2 linked regions of the Oryctolagus cuniculus genome follow. The main gene of each other region encodes a partner of the protein of the gene in region 2 in a complex. Links are inferred from orthologs where the notes say so. Each region holds a gene or a part of one and is shown on either strand. Other genes may lie near its edges.

Region 1 (7,768 bases), on a different chromosome or scaffold from region 2:
CTGCTCCAGTGGCTGCTGGGGGCGGGGGAGAGGCTGGGGAGACACCTGTGGGTGCCCCCTCACGAGCCCCCTTGCCCGCTCTGTCCCCAGGATGTCTTCCTCATCTGCTTCTCCCTTGTCAGCCCAGCCTCCTATGAGAACGTCCGTGCCAAGGTGAGGGCCGCAGAGCGATGGTCTGGCGGGGACCCGGGACGGGAGGCGGGGATCCCAGGGCTGGCGTGGGGGCTCAGGGGGCCCCGTGACTGGGCGTCTCCGAGGGTGGCTGGGCCGGGAACTTGGCCAGCTGCCTCCTCTAACCCTGTCTCTCTCCTCCCCTTGCACCTGCGTCCTCCAACCACACACCCCCTCCTCGCGCCTCTCCTTCCCATCTTCTCCCCAACCGCTGTCTCCGGGGTCTGCACGGCGCCACCCAGTGGTACCCTGAGGTGCGGCACCACTGCCCCAGCACGCCCATCATCCTGGTGGGCACCAAGCTGGACCTGCGGGACGACAAGGACACGATCGAGAAGCTGAAGGAGAAGAAGCTGGCGCCCATCACCTACCCGCAGGGGCTGGCGCTGGCCAAGGAGATCGGTAGGGGCTCAGGCTTGGGGCTGGGGTGGGGCGCGGGGGCTCAGCCTCGCCCCGGGCCAGGCTCCGGCGGTCAGCCCGGGCTGTGCCATACCTCTGCTCCATGACCATGTGCCCACTGCCGAGACCCTCTGCGCCTGTGTTTCCTGGCTCAGAGAGCAGGCGATGGTGACAGTGCCTACCTCGGCAGGAGGACTGAGCCCATACACACGAGGTGCCTGGCGGGCAGTACACGGTGGTGGTTAGTGGCCGTGGCACTGGAAGACAAGGGCAGAGAGAGGCAGGGATGGCATAGGCTGTTCTGGGGTTGTGTGGAGCCAAGGCAAGCTTGGGTTTTTCTGGGAAGGCTCCCTGGAGGAGGTGTCGCTGTCTGAGATTGGAAAGGTGACGCACGGCGTCTGCCCTACCCCCACCCCACCTCCCCCTTTTCAGCCCAGCTGCTCCTGCCCGCAGATGGCAGAGGGGAAGTGACATCCCAGGTCACACAGCGAGTAGGTGGCTGCTCTGTGGTTTGGAGGAGGGGCAGCGAATTACTGCAGGGGTGGGGGAGGGGTGGGGCGCTCCTCAGAGTGGCTCCCGCTGCGCCAGGGAGGTGACCACTGTGGGGCCGGCCTCTCCTGTGGTGCCTGGAGCCCGGGGCCACCTGGGCCTCTGGGCACTGCGCCCTCAGCCTCCCCACAGGGTCCCCCAGGGCTCCCCACCCCCACCCCTCCCTGCCTGGGCCCCATCGTGGCCTCAAGCCGGAACTGGCAGGGCCTCGATCCCTTCACAGGAAGAGAAACCGCAGTGCCGCCCGCCTTCCCCGTGACCGGCCTGGGACGCGGCCATCTTTCCAGCCCCCCCCAACCCCGACGCCCCAACCCTGGGTCCCCTGCCCCGTCCTAGGCCCCGCGGGGGCTGGGGGGTGCGGCCCCACCTTTCCTCCTTCCTGGCCAGCCTGTATGTGTCCCAGACGGCGGCTCTCAGCCTGGGCCTTGCTGGCTGTGTGACCCTGGGGTAGTGGTTTGCCCTCACTGGGCCTCCGTCTCCCCTCACGGGGACAGGACTTGGGGGTGCTTCTCTCCTGGAGCTGGCCCTGGGTGGGGCAGGGCAGGGCTATGGCCATGCTGTGACCTGGGCACCTTGGGCCTGGGGGAGGGCGGGGCCCTGCGGGACTAACCAGGAGGCAGCGGCTGCCTCTGTCCCCTCCCCCGGGGCTCCCCAGCCCCGGGATGACGAATTCTGGGGGCGGCTCTGCTCCCTGCTGCTGATCATGGCTGAATATGGCTGTTCCTGGGAGCTGGGCAGAAGGTTCTCCTACTCCATTCCTGCAGCAGTGACGCGGCGGGGGGGACTGTTAGCACCCCCACTTTACTGGAAAGGGGGGGGAAGGCGCTGGCTTCCGGCCGCACACCTAGGAGGTGGCAGGGTGCACATCCCAGCCCTGGGGACCAAACACTGGGGCCGCCCGGTGGAGGGGGGCCATCGCCCATCAAGAGTCCTGGAGACGGAGACTGAGGCCGGGCGGGTGGTGGTGGCCGGTGACCCAGCACGGGCACAGGTCACAGGCAGAGCCGTGGGCAGCCAGGCCCCCAGCTCAGGACCCTGGTGTTGGCCCAGCTGAGCCAGGCCGGGCAAGCAGTGGGGGTGGGTGTGAGGGAAGAGGCAGCTGCTGGTGGGTGTGGGAGGCGCGGAAGTGCTACGGGCCCCTACAGGAACACGCGGCCAAGTGCCGGTGGCCCCTCTAAGCCTGGGGGGTGATGACAAGGGGACCTGAGGGCTGGCTGTCCTTGCCAGACAGGAGTCCGGGGTGGGGGGGGCGCCGGCTCCCTCCAGTGTGAGACTTGGACGAGCGGCCCCACCCTTTCTTTCTCCCCAGCCCAGGCCTGGGGATGGGGGCTCCCCCTTGTCATCCCAACTCCCCCCTCCTAGCTGTGTGCATCTGGACATAGAGCTGGTGCCGACCCTGCTCTGTCCCCTGTGCCTGTGGGCTTCTCTGGGGGGCAAAGTTCCCCTCCCCTGCTCTCCCCTCCCCTCTTGTTCTCCCCTCCCCGCCCCTCCCCTGCACTCCCCTGCTCTCCCCTCCCTGCCCCGCCCCTCCCCTCCGCTTCCTCTGGGTCCTCTGCAGAGGCTTTGTGCTTCCTCACTTCGGGGAACTGTTGAGCTACAGCGGGCGGGGAAGTCACACAGGCTCCTTCCAGAAGGCCGTGGAGCACTGCCCTGCCCTGCCCGCGGTCGGCCCCGGGCTCCAGCCCTGCGCAGTCGTGAGAGCGATGCCATGTGTGGAGGAGCCCCCGCCCTCCAACTCCTGCCCCTCAGGTGGAGGGGAAGTGTGCTGTGAGGGCTTGGGTAATGTCCTCTGACGGCCTCGATTTCCTCATCTGTACAATGGGCGTGCTGGCTCTGCTCACCACCCCTCCTGCCGGGGAAGACAGACGTGGGGCAGGAGTTGATCTGCACTGCACAGAGCCAGGGGCAGGATCGGGGTGGGGACTCCCACAGCGTGTGTGTGTGGGGGGGTGCTGAGCAGGGTGTGGTCAGATCAGATTGGTCCACAGAGCGTGTGGCCTTCCTCTGATTGGTCGGTGACGAGTACCAGCTTGTATCTTTCTGGGAGAGTGGGCTGGGGTCTGTCCGGGTCTGGGGCAGGGGCCTGCTTTGTTAGATCAGAGCCTATGAGCTCCCGCACAGCCCTGGGTGTGGGGGCTGGCACCGGGGTCCTAACCCCGGGGGCATCTGAACCTTTGGTGTTCAGGGCCTTGGCCCTGGGCTGCCCCTGGCTGAACGCCTGGGCCACTCTTCCCAGAGCAGCTGAGGCTGGGCGGAGAGACTGGGGCAGGGTCCCCATCGGAGGCGAGTGGAGGAGCCCCAGAAACACAGCCCTGCTCTGGGGGCCTGCGCCTCTCCCGCTGAATCCAGGCTCCCGATTTCAGACGTGGGGAGACTGAGACGCAGGCCGCTCCGTTCCTTGCTCAGGGTGACACAGCTCCCAGGAGACCCTGTGGGGACTGGAACCCCGACGGCAGTCCCCACAGTCCTAGGGGTGGTGTGGCAGGGGATCTGCCCAGAGCCCCACCCCGAACCTACGCTTCCGCCCCCAGACTCGGTGAAATACCTGGAGTGCTCAGCCCTCACCCAGAGGGGCCTCAAAACCGTCTTCGACGAGGCCATCCGGGCCGTGCTGTGCCCCCAGCCCACACGGCAGCAGAAGCGCCCCTGCAGCATCCTGTAGGGTAAGACCCCCACCCTGCGCCTGCGCCCTACCCCCCTCCCAACACCTGGCAGGCTCAGGTGGCTGCGCATCCCAGCGGGCACAGCCGAGGGCCGGTATTGAGTGAGCCTCAGTTTCCCCAGCTTTCTTGTCCCCTGCCGGAGCCAGAGGTCAGCAGTGTCCTGTCGCCTGGCCCCCCAGTCCTGCAGGGGACGGTAGGGAGGACAGGAGGACAGTCAGGAACCCCATGGGCCCCAGGCGTGGTTGGGGGGGCGGCCATGAGAGGGGGCGGTGGGTGTGGTTGCAGGGGGAGGAGCAGCGAGCCTGCACTTTGCACACAGGCCCCGGGGCTGCAGGGCGCTGTGGGTTTTGCCCGCCCCCTGCTTCTCAGCGCCTGCCGTCTCCCTTCCAGACTGCGCCCAGCCCCGCCCCAGCTGGTCCTGACCCTCCCAGGGCCCCCAGCGAAGCCTGGCCCTGCCGTCCGCTCCTCGGGCGTCTTAGCAGATGGCTGCAGAGCTTGGCCGACCTGACCGTCCTCTCTCGCCGGACGCTCCCTGGGGCTCTGCGTCCCCGTCCCCCCGTGCTCCCTCCTTCCCAGGGGCCGGAGGGAGCCCCAGGCCTGCGCAGCCGCCCCCCGTGTCACTGCGGTCAGAGCCAGCTGCCACACAGGGCAGCACCTGCGCACTTCCGCCATTCCCAACGCCTGGACACCTGGGGCCCTGGCTGCTGGCCTCCACTTGTCCCCTCGAGGGACCAGGCACTTGCTGTCCCCTGCGCGGTCCGCTCTGATGCCAATGAGCTCCCTCGCCTGGCCTTTCTCTACCGAGCGAAAGCGAGTGTCTCCCAAGCCTGCTGCCCCCGTCTTAGTTCTCCCTGTTTTTGGACAACACAAGGCAAGTCGAGTTCTCCCAGCCCCCAGAGGTGTCGCCCACCGACCCCACGTGTTGGGAGTCGGGCTTCAGCGAACCTCTGCCCTCGCCCCCGACGACCCCCAGCGGCCTGCGCCTGTGAGAGTCTTCAGCGTTCACGCCCTCCCAGGCAGGACTTTGGCTAGTACCAAATTCAAGCTGCTTAAGCAGAAAATAAACTTAGGGATTAGAGTTTGGAAACGTGGTTTCAGGTGCGGCTTGATCCAGGGGACTCCGTGGACGTCATCAGGGTTGGTTTTCCCAGTGTCTCTCGCCTCTGTCTCCTGCCGGCTGTGGCAAGCGGCTCGCAAGGTTTCGTCCCTCCTGGTCCAAGTTCAGGCACAGAGAGCGAGCGGCTGTTCCAGGCAAAGTTCTGATGGAGGTTTACTCCGATTGGCCCAGCTTAGGTCTTAGGCCTTCCTCCCACCAACTGTGTCTGTCTTGGGGAGGCCATGTTCTGATTGGACCCCGCGCCAGGCTACTTCCTCAGCCAGGGTGGCAGTAAGCCCAGGCAAACCACAGGTGCTGGGTGGCGGCCGAGAGGGGGTTCAGGCAGCCAGGACCCAGCCCCCACTGCCACCGAGGGCCACGGGAGAGCGTCTGTCCCAGCAGGTGCAGGGCAGCAGGGCTGGCGCCAGCAGGCCCCAAGCGGAGGGCAGGTGCTGGAAGGAGAGGCGGGGCCTGCTGGGATGAGCTCCGCCTCCGCGTTAGCCCACGGCTGCTCTGCCCTCCGCACACTGCGTCCATTTGTCCCATACACACTCGGGTTTGCGGCCACCTCCTCTGAGCCGGGAGCTGCCCCCCGTGTGTGGGGGGTGCCCCAGCCTGGTGGCACCAGGCGGCAGCCATATGAGTGACAACGGACACCTTGCTCTGGGACGAATGAAAAGGAAACCACCTAATTTGTTTGGTCACTGCTAGCGGGCAGCATTTGTCACCGAGGCCTTGGGACTCCTGGCCCAGTGCTCCTCCCATCACACAGTTGTGCCCAGCAGCCCCTGGGTATCAGATGAGCCACTCCCGTTTGCTCTGCAGATGGGCAGAGGAGGCGCGGCCCCTCGGACAGGAAAAGGGAGACCGTGAGGGAAGTCAGTGAGCCCCTGCTTGGAAACAGGAAGAACCACTGGGTGCAGGCAGGCGCTGACCATCGGCGAACGCTGGCCCTGTCCCACGACAACGGCTCCCGGGCGCCCGCCTAGCACTAGGGGCTGCAGGCGTCAGACTTGGCATGGCCTGGCGGGCGGGGACTCTGCACCTGCAGCCGGCTCAACCTGGCTGTCCCCTGCAGAGCCCCAGCCCCGTCACGTCACTCATCCTTTCGCCCCGCTGGTCACTGGTCCTGGTGCCCCAGGCCCACTGCGGTTCCCTGACCTGGGCCTGGGGCAGTGGCCAGCTCTCCTACCAGCCCCTCCCGCCCCGCCTCCACCGGGCAGCCCCGGGGAACCTGCCCTCTTTTGCCATCAAAATTGTGCCACCCAGGAGGCTCGGACGAAGGGACTTCAGAAAGTGCGGAAAATGGAGTGAGAAGACGAGAAACCTGTGCAGATGAGAGCGTCTTCAAAACTCAAAGTTCGGAGGGGCCGGCGCTGTGGCGCAGCAGGTGCAGCCGCCGCCTGTGACGCCTGCGTCCCATACGGGGGCCGGTTCGGATCCCAGCTGCACCACTTCCTATCCAGCTCCCTGCTATGGCCTGGGAAAGCAGCGGAGGGTGGCCCAAGTCCTTAGGCCCCTGCGCCCACATGGGAGACAGGGTGCCTGAGAGACGGCGGGGGGGGGGGGGGAGTCAGCATGGGCCTGCTCCCGGGAACTCGATCCCCTGCGAGCCCTGCCCGGCTCCCCGGCTCTCCAGGACGCGCCTCAGCCTTGCGCACCGACCCCGGACACTCAGACTCAACCTCCCGGTGCCATTCTCGGCGCCTGTTCGCCTGGTGCTTTTCCTATGCAACCCGGCGGTGCCCCCCCCCCCCCGCGGTCCCACGCCCAGAGGCAGACCGCGGCCTGTGGCTCCCGTGCAGGCGCCCACACGGCATGGCGTGGCGGAGCCCACGGGACTGGGCCGTGAGTCCCCTGGAGGTGGGCTGGGGGTGTTTGCTGGATGCCAATGCGGGCGCCTCGTCTGGCTCTTGCCTTTGGCCAAGGAGTAGCCAGAGCGGCTGCGTGAAACCCAAGTCAGGGGTGGGGCTTGGTGCAGCCGTCCAGGCGCCCATGTTGGAGGGCCTGGGTTCGAGTTCTGGCTCCATGGCCAGCTCCAGCCTCCTGGAAAGCTCCCTGGAGGCGGCAGGTGATGAAGTACCGGGGTTCCTGCCACCCCAAGGAGACCGGATTGGGTTTCGGGCTCCTGGCTTCAGCCTGGGCCAGATCCAGCTGTTGCAGGCATTTGGGGGGAGGGGGCGAACTAGTGGGTGGGAGAACTCCCCCCCCCGCCTCTCAACAGTCGATGGAATTTACCCCCCACACAAGGAGACGGAAGCACTCCCTTGCAACCGAATCCAGCGGCTTCAGGACGCGACGAAGCCCCAGCTTACCCACAAGGCCCTGCGAGCCGCTGCCAGGGCCCCCGCGGAGCTCAGCTTGCGCCCTGGCAGAGCGCCAGCCACCAGGGCTGCTTCTAGCAGCTGCTTTGCCCCCAAACCCTTCCTGCCGCAGGGCCTTTGCTCAAGCTGTTTCCCCCACTCCAACACGTTCTGTCTCCAGCTCCCTCCACGATGGCCCTCTCTCTAGTCCCACAATCCCACACGGCAGGCACTCCCCTCCCCTCCACCGAGGAGTTGCCTGGGTGGCTCTGAACGCCAGCACAGCTTGTCCGTGTCCTTGGGAACCGCTGTGGTGTCAGCGGCTGACGTGATTTCATAGGCGACACCGCAGCCCAGCACAGCAGGTGTTGAAGGGGAGGGATGGAGGCTCAGAGAGGGTGAGACACATACCTGAGGTCACACAGCTGATCAGCGCCAGAGTGGAGCTGCAGCCCCCACAGGAACTGGTGGAGCAGGGGGCAGGCCCCGGGGGTGGGCTTGGCGCCCTTGTTTGGGAAGACAGATCTCTTGGATCCCGCTGTCCCTAGCTGGGGCCCCGCCCTGCAACATGTCCACTCTGGACTGGG
Region 2 (7,728 bases):
TTGGGAACTTTCCACTTGTTCTAGAACTGTTCCTCAATTAGACTGTCAGGTATGTGAGGAAGAGCTGTCCTGTATAAATTTCCATATTTCCTATTTGTTGAATAAATTAATTGGTACAAGAAACTATGTGGTTAGATATGTTCACTTTCCAAATTCTTTTTACACCATTAAACAGTGGATTTCAGGAGAGACTTCATGGCACTGATATGAAAACAAAAAACAAGCTGATGAAGTTGGCTATGTTGCTTAATTGTTTGACCTGAGGAAGTTGGTTACAACTCTCTGAGCTCAGTTCCATCATCTTTCAAATAGTGTGGTCAAGTTTTTAGGGTGGTCGTGAGAGTTAAATGAGATGATGCTCATCAAATATCTAGTACACAGAAGGATTTCTTGTTAATAATTCTTATTTTTCTTTCTCCATTACTCCGAAGTGCTGCTCAACAAGAATTCGAAGACAACTGGACAGAAATCTCACTTTTCATAAAATGGTGGCGTGGATGATTGCACTTCATTCTGGTAAGTTTATTGAAATATTTGAAATTGTGAAGGAAACTTTGAACCAGAAATATCTCTTCATTCTTAAGTGACTTTTTTTGCAAGATATCAATTCTTTCAGAGTTCTGTTAAAGTATTTACTGCTCTTTTTGTCATTCCAATATTAGGATTTATTTCTCAAGGTCTTAAAACTTTAACATCTTAGGATCTGCCTATACAAATGAAAATGTGTCATGGGAAAAGTCAATCCAATCATCCTCATTTTTTTCCATTACTTTTAACATAACAAATGTTTGTTAGCATACATATGAGAGCTTTTATTCATTCCACCAAATGGTTGCACACGTGGATCTGTGGATTTTCTGCAGTAAACCTATAGGAGCCAAAAAATTGAGAATCCCTTTAGATAGTTCTTAGCAGCTAAATATCTTCATTGTGGTGGTGATGACGATGATGATGATATTATATATAAACATTATACATATATGAGTGTATATATATAATAATCATTAGGCTAGTGGTATAAGTGCAAAAAGGTGTGTATCTGGGCCCTTATCCAGTGTCTACCAATTACTTAATAAATAATTCATGTGGCGGACAATAGATGCGCACAGCAATGATCACAACAGACTTTTACTCTACCTCAGAGTTTATTCCTAATCCAAGTAAAATAAACTTGGATTACAGATCTTAATGGGTTCTTCTGTTCCTACTAGATCATGTAGGCTTTCTGAGATGGGGTGAATGAAATAGTTCAAAAGAAATGTGACAAAATCTTGTTAGAAAGTAGCATAGTTTACTGGTTAGTATCGCAGATTTGTGTGCCAAACTGCTTGGATTTGGCTCCTAACTCTGTTACTTCCTAGATTGGTGACATTGGCCAAACTTTTAAATAAATGGATGTCTCCGTTCCCTCATCTCCAAGATGAGCTGACACTAAATAGCACCTACATCATTGAGTGAATTACAAGTGAAGTAATTGTAAAGCACTTATAACAATACTTGACACCTAGTAAGCCCTATGCATGTGTATGTTAGAATAAAGAATGCAGTTTGTTTTTTAAGGGAATCACACTTGTGGCCATTGGCTTACATCAATTCAATCACATTTATCAGTGATTTCAGAGTCAGATGAATTGGTCAGCTATTAGGTTTATGAGAGCTCAAGAATGTTTGAGCGCAACTATATTAGGAAGAGACAGTGAAAAGCACCATCCTGAGAGACCAACGCTAGTTTTTAGAATCTTAGGACTTGATTAGGTCTAAGGTGCATATAGTTCAAGATCTTCATTTTACAAATGATGAAACTGAGACCAGAGAGTTTAAGTGATTTTCTCACAGTAAAAATACAATTGGGCAGGTACTTACCTACTAGAATAGCCTTGCTTTGCTGATTCTGGGGATCCTGTTCTTGTTTATAAGTGCCCTGGGCCACCCCTGTTTCTCCCTGTGACATCATTCAATCAGAGGCAGTGGCTGGAAAAGCAGCTTACAATACATTTCTGCATACCCTTCACTTTCTTTGTTTCTCTTTTTTGCCCTCTTTAGCGATTCACACAATTGCACATCTATTCAATGTGGAGTGGTGTGTGAATGCCCGAGTCAACAATTCTGATAGTTACTCGATAGCACTCTCTGAAATTGGGGACAAAAAGAATGAAACTTACCTCAATTTTGTTCGAGAGAGAATCAAGGTAAGCTATTCATTTCCTGATTCAATTGTTCCCTAAGCAGTTAAAGCTGAGGACTAGATTTCAGTGAGTGAAGGTCAGGATATGGCTAGAACCACAACAAAAGTTGGCCAATCATCAGGACAAGTCTGTAGGTTATAAGAATGTGAATACAGAGAGAATGTCTACCACTTTCCTGATGCCATGTATGGAAGATCTGTAGATGTTTCCCAGTTCCTTAAACTCACCTGTGAGAATGTGTGCCTTTGGAGCCTGTAGTAACTCAGGCTCTCTCATGGCCATTCCTACCAGTCAGAAAAGCCAGGATTATGTTTTTAGTCAAACAAAATTTGATTTATTACTACTACAACAAATGAAAGTTCACACTATGAGCAAGTCTGGGGCATCTCATGGGGTGTTAAGAGGAATTTGCTGTGAGATTTAGTTTTCTTTTTTGTTTTAAAGATTTATTTATTTGAAAGGCAGAGTTATAGAGAGACAGTTATAAAAGAAGAGATACAGAGAGAGAGATCTTGCATCTGCTGGTTCACTCCCCAAATGGTAGCAATGGCCAGCACTGGGCCAGGCCAAAGCCAGGAGCCAGGAGCTTCTTCTGGTCTCCCACATGGGTGCAAAGGGTCCAAGCACTTGGGTCATCTTCTGCTGCTTTCTCAGGCGCATTAGCAGGGAGCTGGATTGGAAGTGGAGCGGCCAGGACAGGAACCAGCACTCATATGGGATGGCCGGTAATGCAGACGGAGGCCTTACCTGCTGTGCCACAGCACTGGCCCCATAGATTTAGTCTTAAATTAGATGGTTTGAAGGAGAGATTAGGAAAACAAAGATTTTCTCTAGATTGTTTATTATTAGTAATTGGGTATAGTTCTAGGACCAGGTAGCTTAATATATTTCCCTAGGAGGCACAAGGAAGAGAATGAGGCTAAATCTTTAATATGTAAAGAGGCAGGAGTTACCTGTGTTTTGGTCTGAGCTCAGACATGATTTCAAAGTGGTCTTGTGTTTATTGCATTCCATCACAGTCAGAGCATGACCTAGTCTGAGGTTGGTGTTTTATGAAATTATGTATGTGAAGTAGGGAACACCCCTGGCCTGGTGTTAGCGTCAGGCCAGCCACCAACTGGCAGCTGTCAGTGGTGCTGTGTTCTTTCTTCCACAACATCTGAGTGGTGGCCCACCATTTATTATGCCTCGAGAAGCCTGGTGCCCTGGGAGTGACATAACAGGTCTCAAGGGCAGTCATGAGGTTATCCAGAGGCAAGGACTTCTTCCCTCCCTGCAGTTGCTGAAGCTTCCTACACTCAGAGAAACTCAAAGTCACAGTCATGTGCTCAAAGGCTTGGGAAGATGGCTCAATCATATTGAGTTCCAAACATGTTTTCTTGTACTTAGAAAAGATCATAAGGGGCTGGCATTGTGGCATAGCGGGTAAAAGCCGCTGCCTGTGATGCCAGCATGCCATGTGGGCGCCAGTTCATCTCCTGGCTGCTCCACTTCGGATCCAGCTCACTGCTAATGACCTGTGAAAGCAGAGGAGGATGGCCTAAGTGTCTGGGACCCTGCACCCACGTGGGAGACCCAGAAGCAGCTCCTGGCTCCTGGCTTTGGCCTCGCCCACCACTGGCCATTGCAGCCATCTGGGGAGTGAACCAGCGGATGGAAGATCTCTCTCTGTCTCTCCCTGTCTCTCTGTAACTCTGCCTTTCAAATAAATAAGCAAATCTTTCTTTTTTAAAAAAGAAAAGTTCATAATAGAAGACTCATTTTGTGAAAGAATTTATTATACTCAGACTGACATGGGAAAAATTTGCCTAATCTACTTAAGGACAAAATCAAACAAAACAGAAATTCTTTTCCCGCAATATTTTGGATAATTTTCTTTTACATTGTTCATCGTTTGCCAAATGACACATAAGATTGGTGATATGAACATAATAAGGTGAGCAGACACTGTCACTCTCTGCTCAGATCTCCATCGATCACTTTGACTATATCTATGCTCTTCCTCTTTCTCTCTCTCTTTTTTTTATTTATTTGAAAGACAGAGTTACAGAGAGAGGTAGAGAGAGAGAGGTCTTCCATTTGCTGGTTCACTCTCCAGATGGCCGCAATGGCCGGAGCTGAGCTGATCCTAAGCCACGAGCCAGGAGCTTCTTCTGGGTCTCCCACGTGGGTGCAAGGGCCCAAGGATTTAGGCCATCTTCTACTGCTTTCCCAGGCCATAGCAGAGAGCTGGATCAGAAGAGGAGCAGCTGGGACTAGAACCGGCACCCATATGGGATGCTGGCACTTCAGGCCAGGGCGTAAACCCACTGCGCCACAGTGCCAGCCCCATCTTCCACTCTTCTGAGTGCTTTCGTTTTCAATGATCTATAGTTGTATTCCTTCTTCAGAAGACTGCCTTGGAGATACTGAAGTCCTTTGCCATAGGCTCATAGATCTAGAAGGGCCTGTATGGTTACCTCTCCCTGGATAACCCTTTTTCAGTAATACACGTGTGCAAGTCATGAAAACAGATTCCTCGCTTTGAGTCAAGATAAACTCTGAGGCAGACCTTACTCTCCAGGGTTCCTCTGCAGGATCCAGCTGAGGCTAGCGCCTGCGGAACTTTTTCTGAGATCACCATGTGGCTTGACTTTTTCCTCTTTCCTGTCCCATTCCTCATTCCCTTACCAGTTTCTCGTGGAGCAGGTTTTGTTCTAAATCGCTTTACCATGATTCTTCATCTCAGGGCTTGCTTCTGGCGAACCTAGGCTAAGATGCTAGGCGTTCCCAGAATGCATCTGTGAAAAAGCACTCCCAAATCAAAGGAGAAAGTGCTCCAGACACTTTCATTACGCCTTATAGTCAATTAATTTCTTTTATTTGATACTTCAGTGTATCACTTCATATTTACTATGGCATCTTAACCATATAAGACATTTTAAAATGAATACCTATTCCAAATCCATGTCTCTGTGCTGGATGGTTAGGATTATCCTAAGGGGAAGTGAAAATACCTATTGCTATATATTCTGGGCAGTTCATAAAAGGGTACTCCTGCTTTGAGAGCCGACCATAATGTGCGTGTGTGTATGTGCTTATATTTTACAGAACCCTGAAGGAGGCCTGTTAGTGGCTGTAACGCGGTTGGCAGGCGTCACTGGAATTATCATCACACTGTGCCTCATACTTATCATCACATCCTCCACCAAAATCATCCGGAGGTCTTACTTTGAAGTGTTTTGGTACACACACCATCTCTTCGTCATATTCTTCATTGGTCTTGCCATCCATGGAGCTGAGTGAGTGTTTAAACCCTGAGGCCAGGGACTTTACGTCTCTCTTTTAGATGTGGTGCCTTGTAAGAAGCTCAGTGACCTTGCCGGGGAGTGGCCAACCTGCCCACTGAGGGAGCGGGAAAGGATGGCAGGTATCAGTTCAATAAAAACCACTCAGCAGCACTTTCGTTTTTTACACCCAACTAATTGGTATTGATAATGCAGTTATTTTAGCAAGCCTGACAAAAACAGCAAGCTTTGAGTATAAAACATGAGGAGAGCACTGGTAGGCTCCTGGTGTCTATAACAATATCTCCTGTGGCTTAGTCACTATTGAATTAGACAAACCCACAAAATAGAGGACTTACTGGTTAATCACTTTAAAGGGGTTTTCTGCTGTTCAGTCAGTTAGAACTTAAGCCAATAAGCATTTATTGGTTGCCTACCGTGTATGAGGAGCTGTCTCAGGCACCATGGGAATACTAGCAGGAAAAATACATGGATATTGACTTCAAACATTCTACTCTATTAAACGTAGCTGCTAATTTCTATTGAGCACTTGCTCTACATCAGGTTATGTGCTAACGATTTGACATAAACTATTTCTTTTAGTCCCCAAAATATATAGATACTCTCACTATCCTCATTTACTGGGAACAGTATTGCACACAAGGAATCTGAAACTAAAAACAGTGAAATATGTAGGCAAGGCCACACAGCTGGTAAGTCCACTACCTAGGAATGGAGCCCAGGCGATCTAAAGCAGCCTGTGATACATGCTGTAATAGATACACAGTACCTGGATGCGTGCTTGGGAAAGTTTGCCTTATTGGGAATCCTTTTTGATACCAGGTTTCCTTTTTTACTGTTCACACCACCTGCACACAAAGGCAGGCCTGGGGAAGTTTCCTGGTGGGTATAGGACTCCAAGAAACTAGGGGTAGGGGGATTACACGCTCATGGTTCAAACCTTCAGCTCAGAACCAAGTCTAGAGATGGCCAAGATATGAGTATGAAAAGGGAAGGGTGGGAAGAGGCATCCCTTGAAAACCACTGTGTGCATTCTAATCCTCCTTGATGAATTTGACCTTGGTAAATAATTTCTAAGCACTGAGGAATCAGTGTAGACAAAGATTCTCTTGGAGTGAGTCTTTGGCTGAGCAGTTAAGAAGCCTGCTAATATGCCTGCTTTCCATGTGGGAGTGCCTAGGTTTGATAACCAGAATTTGCTACGTGCATCGATACCCAGCTCTAGCTCCTGACTCCAGCTTCCTGCTAATGTGGACACGGGGAGGTGGTGATTATGACTCTCTTAATTGGATTCCTGCCACCCAAGTGGGAGGCTTGGATTCTCTTCCCAGCTCCCAGTTTTGGCCCTGCCCAAGCCTGATCATTGTGAGCATTTAGGAGTGAAGCAGCAGATGGAATCTCTTTCTCTCTCCCACACCTTGTTTTCTTTCTTTCTCTATCTGCCTGTATCTCTGCCTCTCAAATAAAAAAGTAAAGTATCTATCAATGAGACTGAGTCATAATCCAGCGGTTTCAGTTTCTCTCAAAGGCATTTTTCCCTCTCTGTAGTTTACTAATCTGGCATTCTTCAATTGTAGGTTTCACAGATATCCATCTTCCTTTGTAGAAGACTGAAGACAAATTCTCCATGTGAAGAGAATTTGCTACTTACACTGGTTAGGTGATTTCTCATAGTGTCATGGCTAGGTAACAGTTTAACTGGGATTAAAATCCAGGTTCCTGGAATACTGGTCCTAACAGTGAACAGGAGAAAAGCAGATTTGCTTTCTATCATTTATTCTCCACTTGAACATGGGCATGAAGAGAACTTTAATATCTTTTTTTGAACTCTTTGTTTTTAACATTTTTTAACACCTCATGACAATTGATTAGTAAAACAAACTTTTCATGAGGTATTGTCATGCCTATTTTACAGCTAAATAAACTGAGGTTCACAGGAAGTTATATAATTTGCCTGAGGCCATCAAAGTAGTAAAGGCTGAAACTGAGATTTGAAGCACAGGCTGTCTTGCTTGAAACAGAAAGATTTTCGTTAGTCAATATACTTTGAGTTGCCAAATCATCCTGTTTTGAGTTATTACTCTTCTTAAAATTGGGGTAGTAATACTTGCCTTAGGTTTGTTATGAGGATTAACTGAAATAGTTTGAATATAGTGCCTTTCTTCAGTTTTGGCACATCATAGGTGCTTGATACATGGTAATTCTCTTCCCCAAGGCCTCAGATACAAAGGAGTGGTTAATAACCTCGAATGAGA

The links. Proteins that work in one complex are often made in the same cells at the same time.
Region 1: CYBB (region 2) and RAC2 share a complex: the UniProt entries of both Homo sapiens proteins name them as parts of the phagocyte NADPH oxidase complex. The link is inferred for Oryctolagus cuniculus from reciprocal best matches to the Homo sapiens genes CYBB and RAC2.

The regions. Positions count from the first base shown.
Region 1 is NC_091442.1:114,244,859-114,252,626, reverse strand, and holds the end of RAC2 (ras-related C3 botulinum toxin substrate 2), read left to right. Parts: intron 1-90; coding exon 91-153; intron 154-413; coding exon 414-573; intron 574-3,650; coding exon 3,651-3,781; 3' UTR 3,782-3,782; intron 3,783-4,172; 3' UTR 4,173-4,869; downstream 4,870-7,768. UniProt on the Homo sapiens protein: Plasma membrane-associated small GTPase which cycles between an active GTP-bound and inactive GDP-bound state.
Region 2 is NC_091453.1:23,803,515-23,811,242, forward strand, and holds part of CYBB (cytochrome b-245 heavy chain), read left to right. Parts: intron 1-431; coding exon 432-516; intron 517-2,043; coding exon 2,044-2,189; intron 2,190-5,276; coding exon 5,277-5,467; intron 5,468-7,728. UniProt on the Homo sapiens protein: Catalytic subunit of the phagocyte NADPH oxidase complex that mediates the transfer of electrons from cytosolic NADPH to O2 to produce the superoxide anion (O2(-)).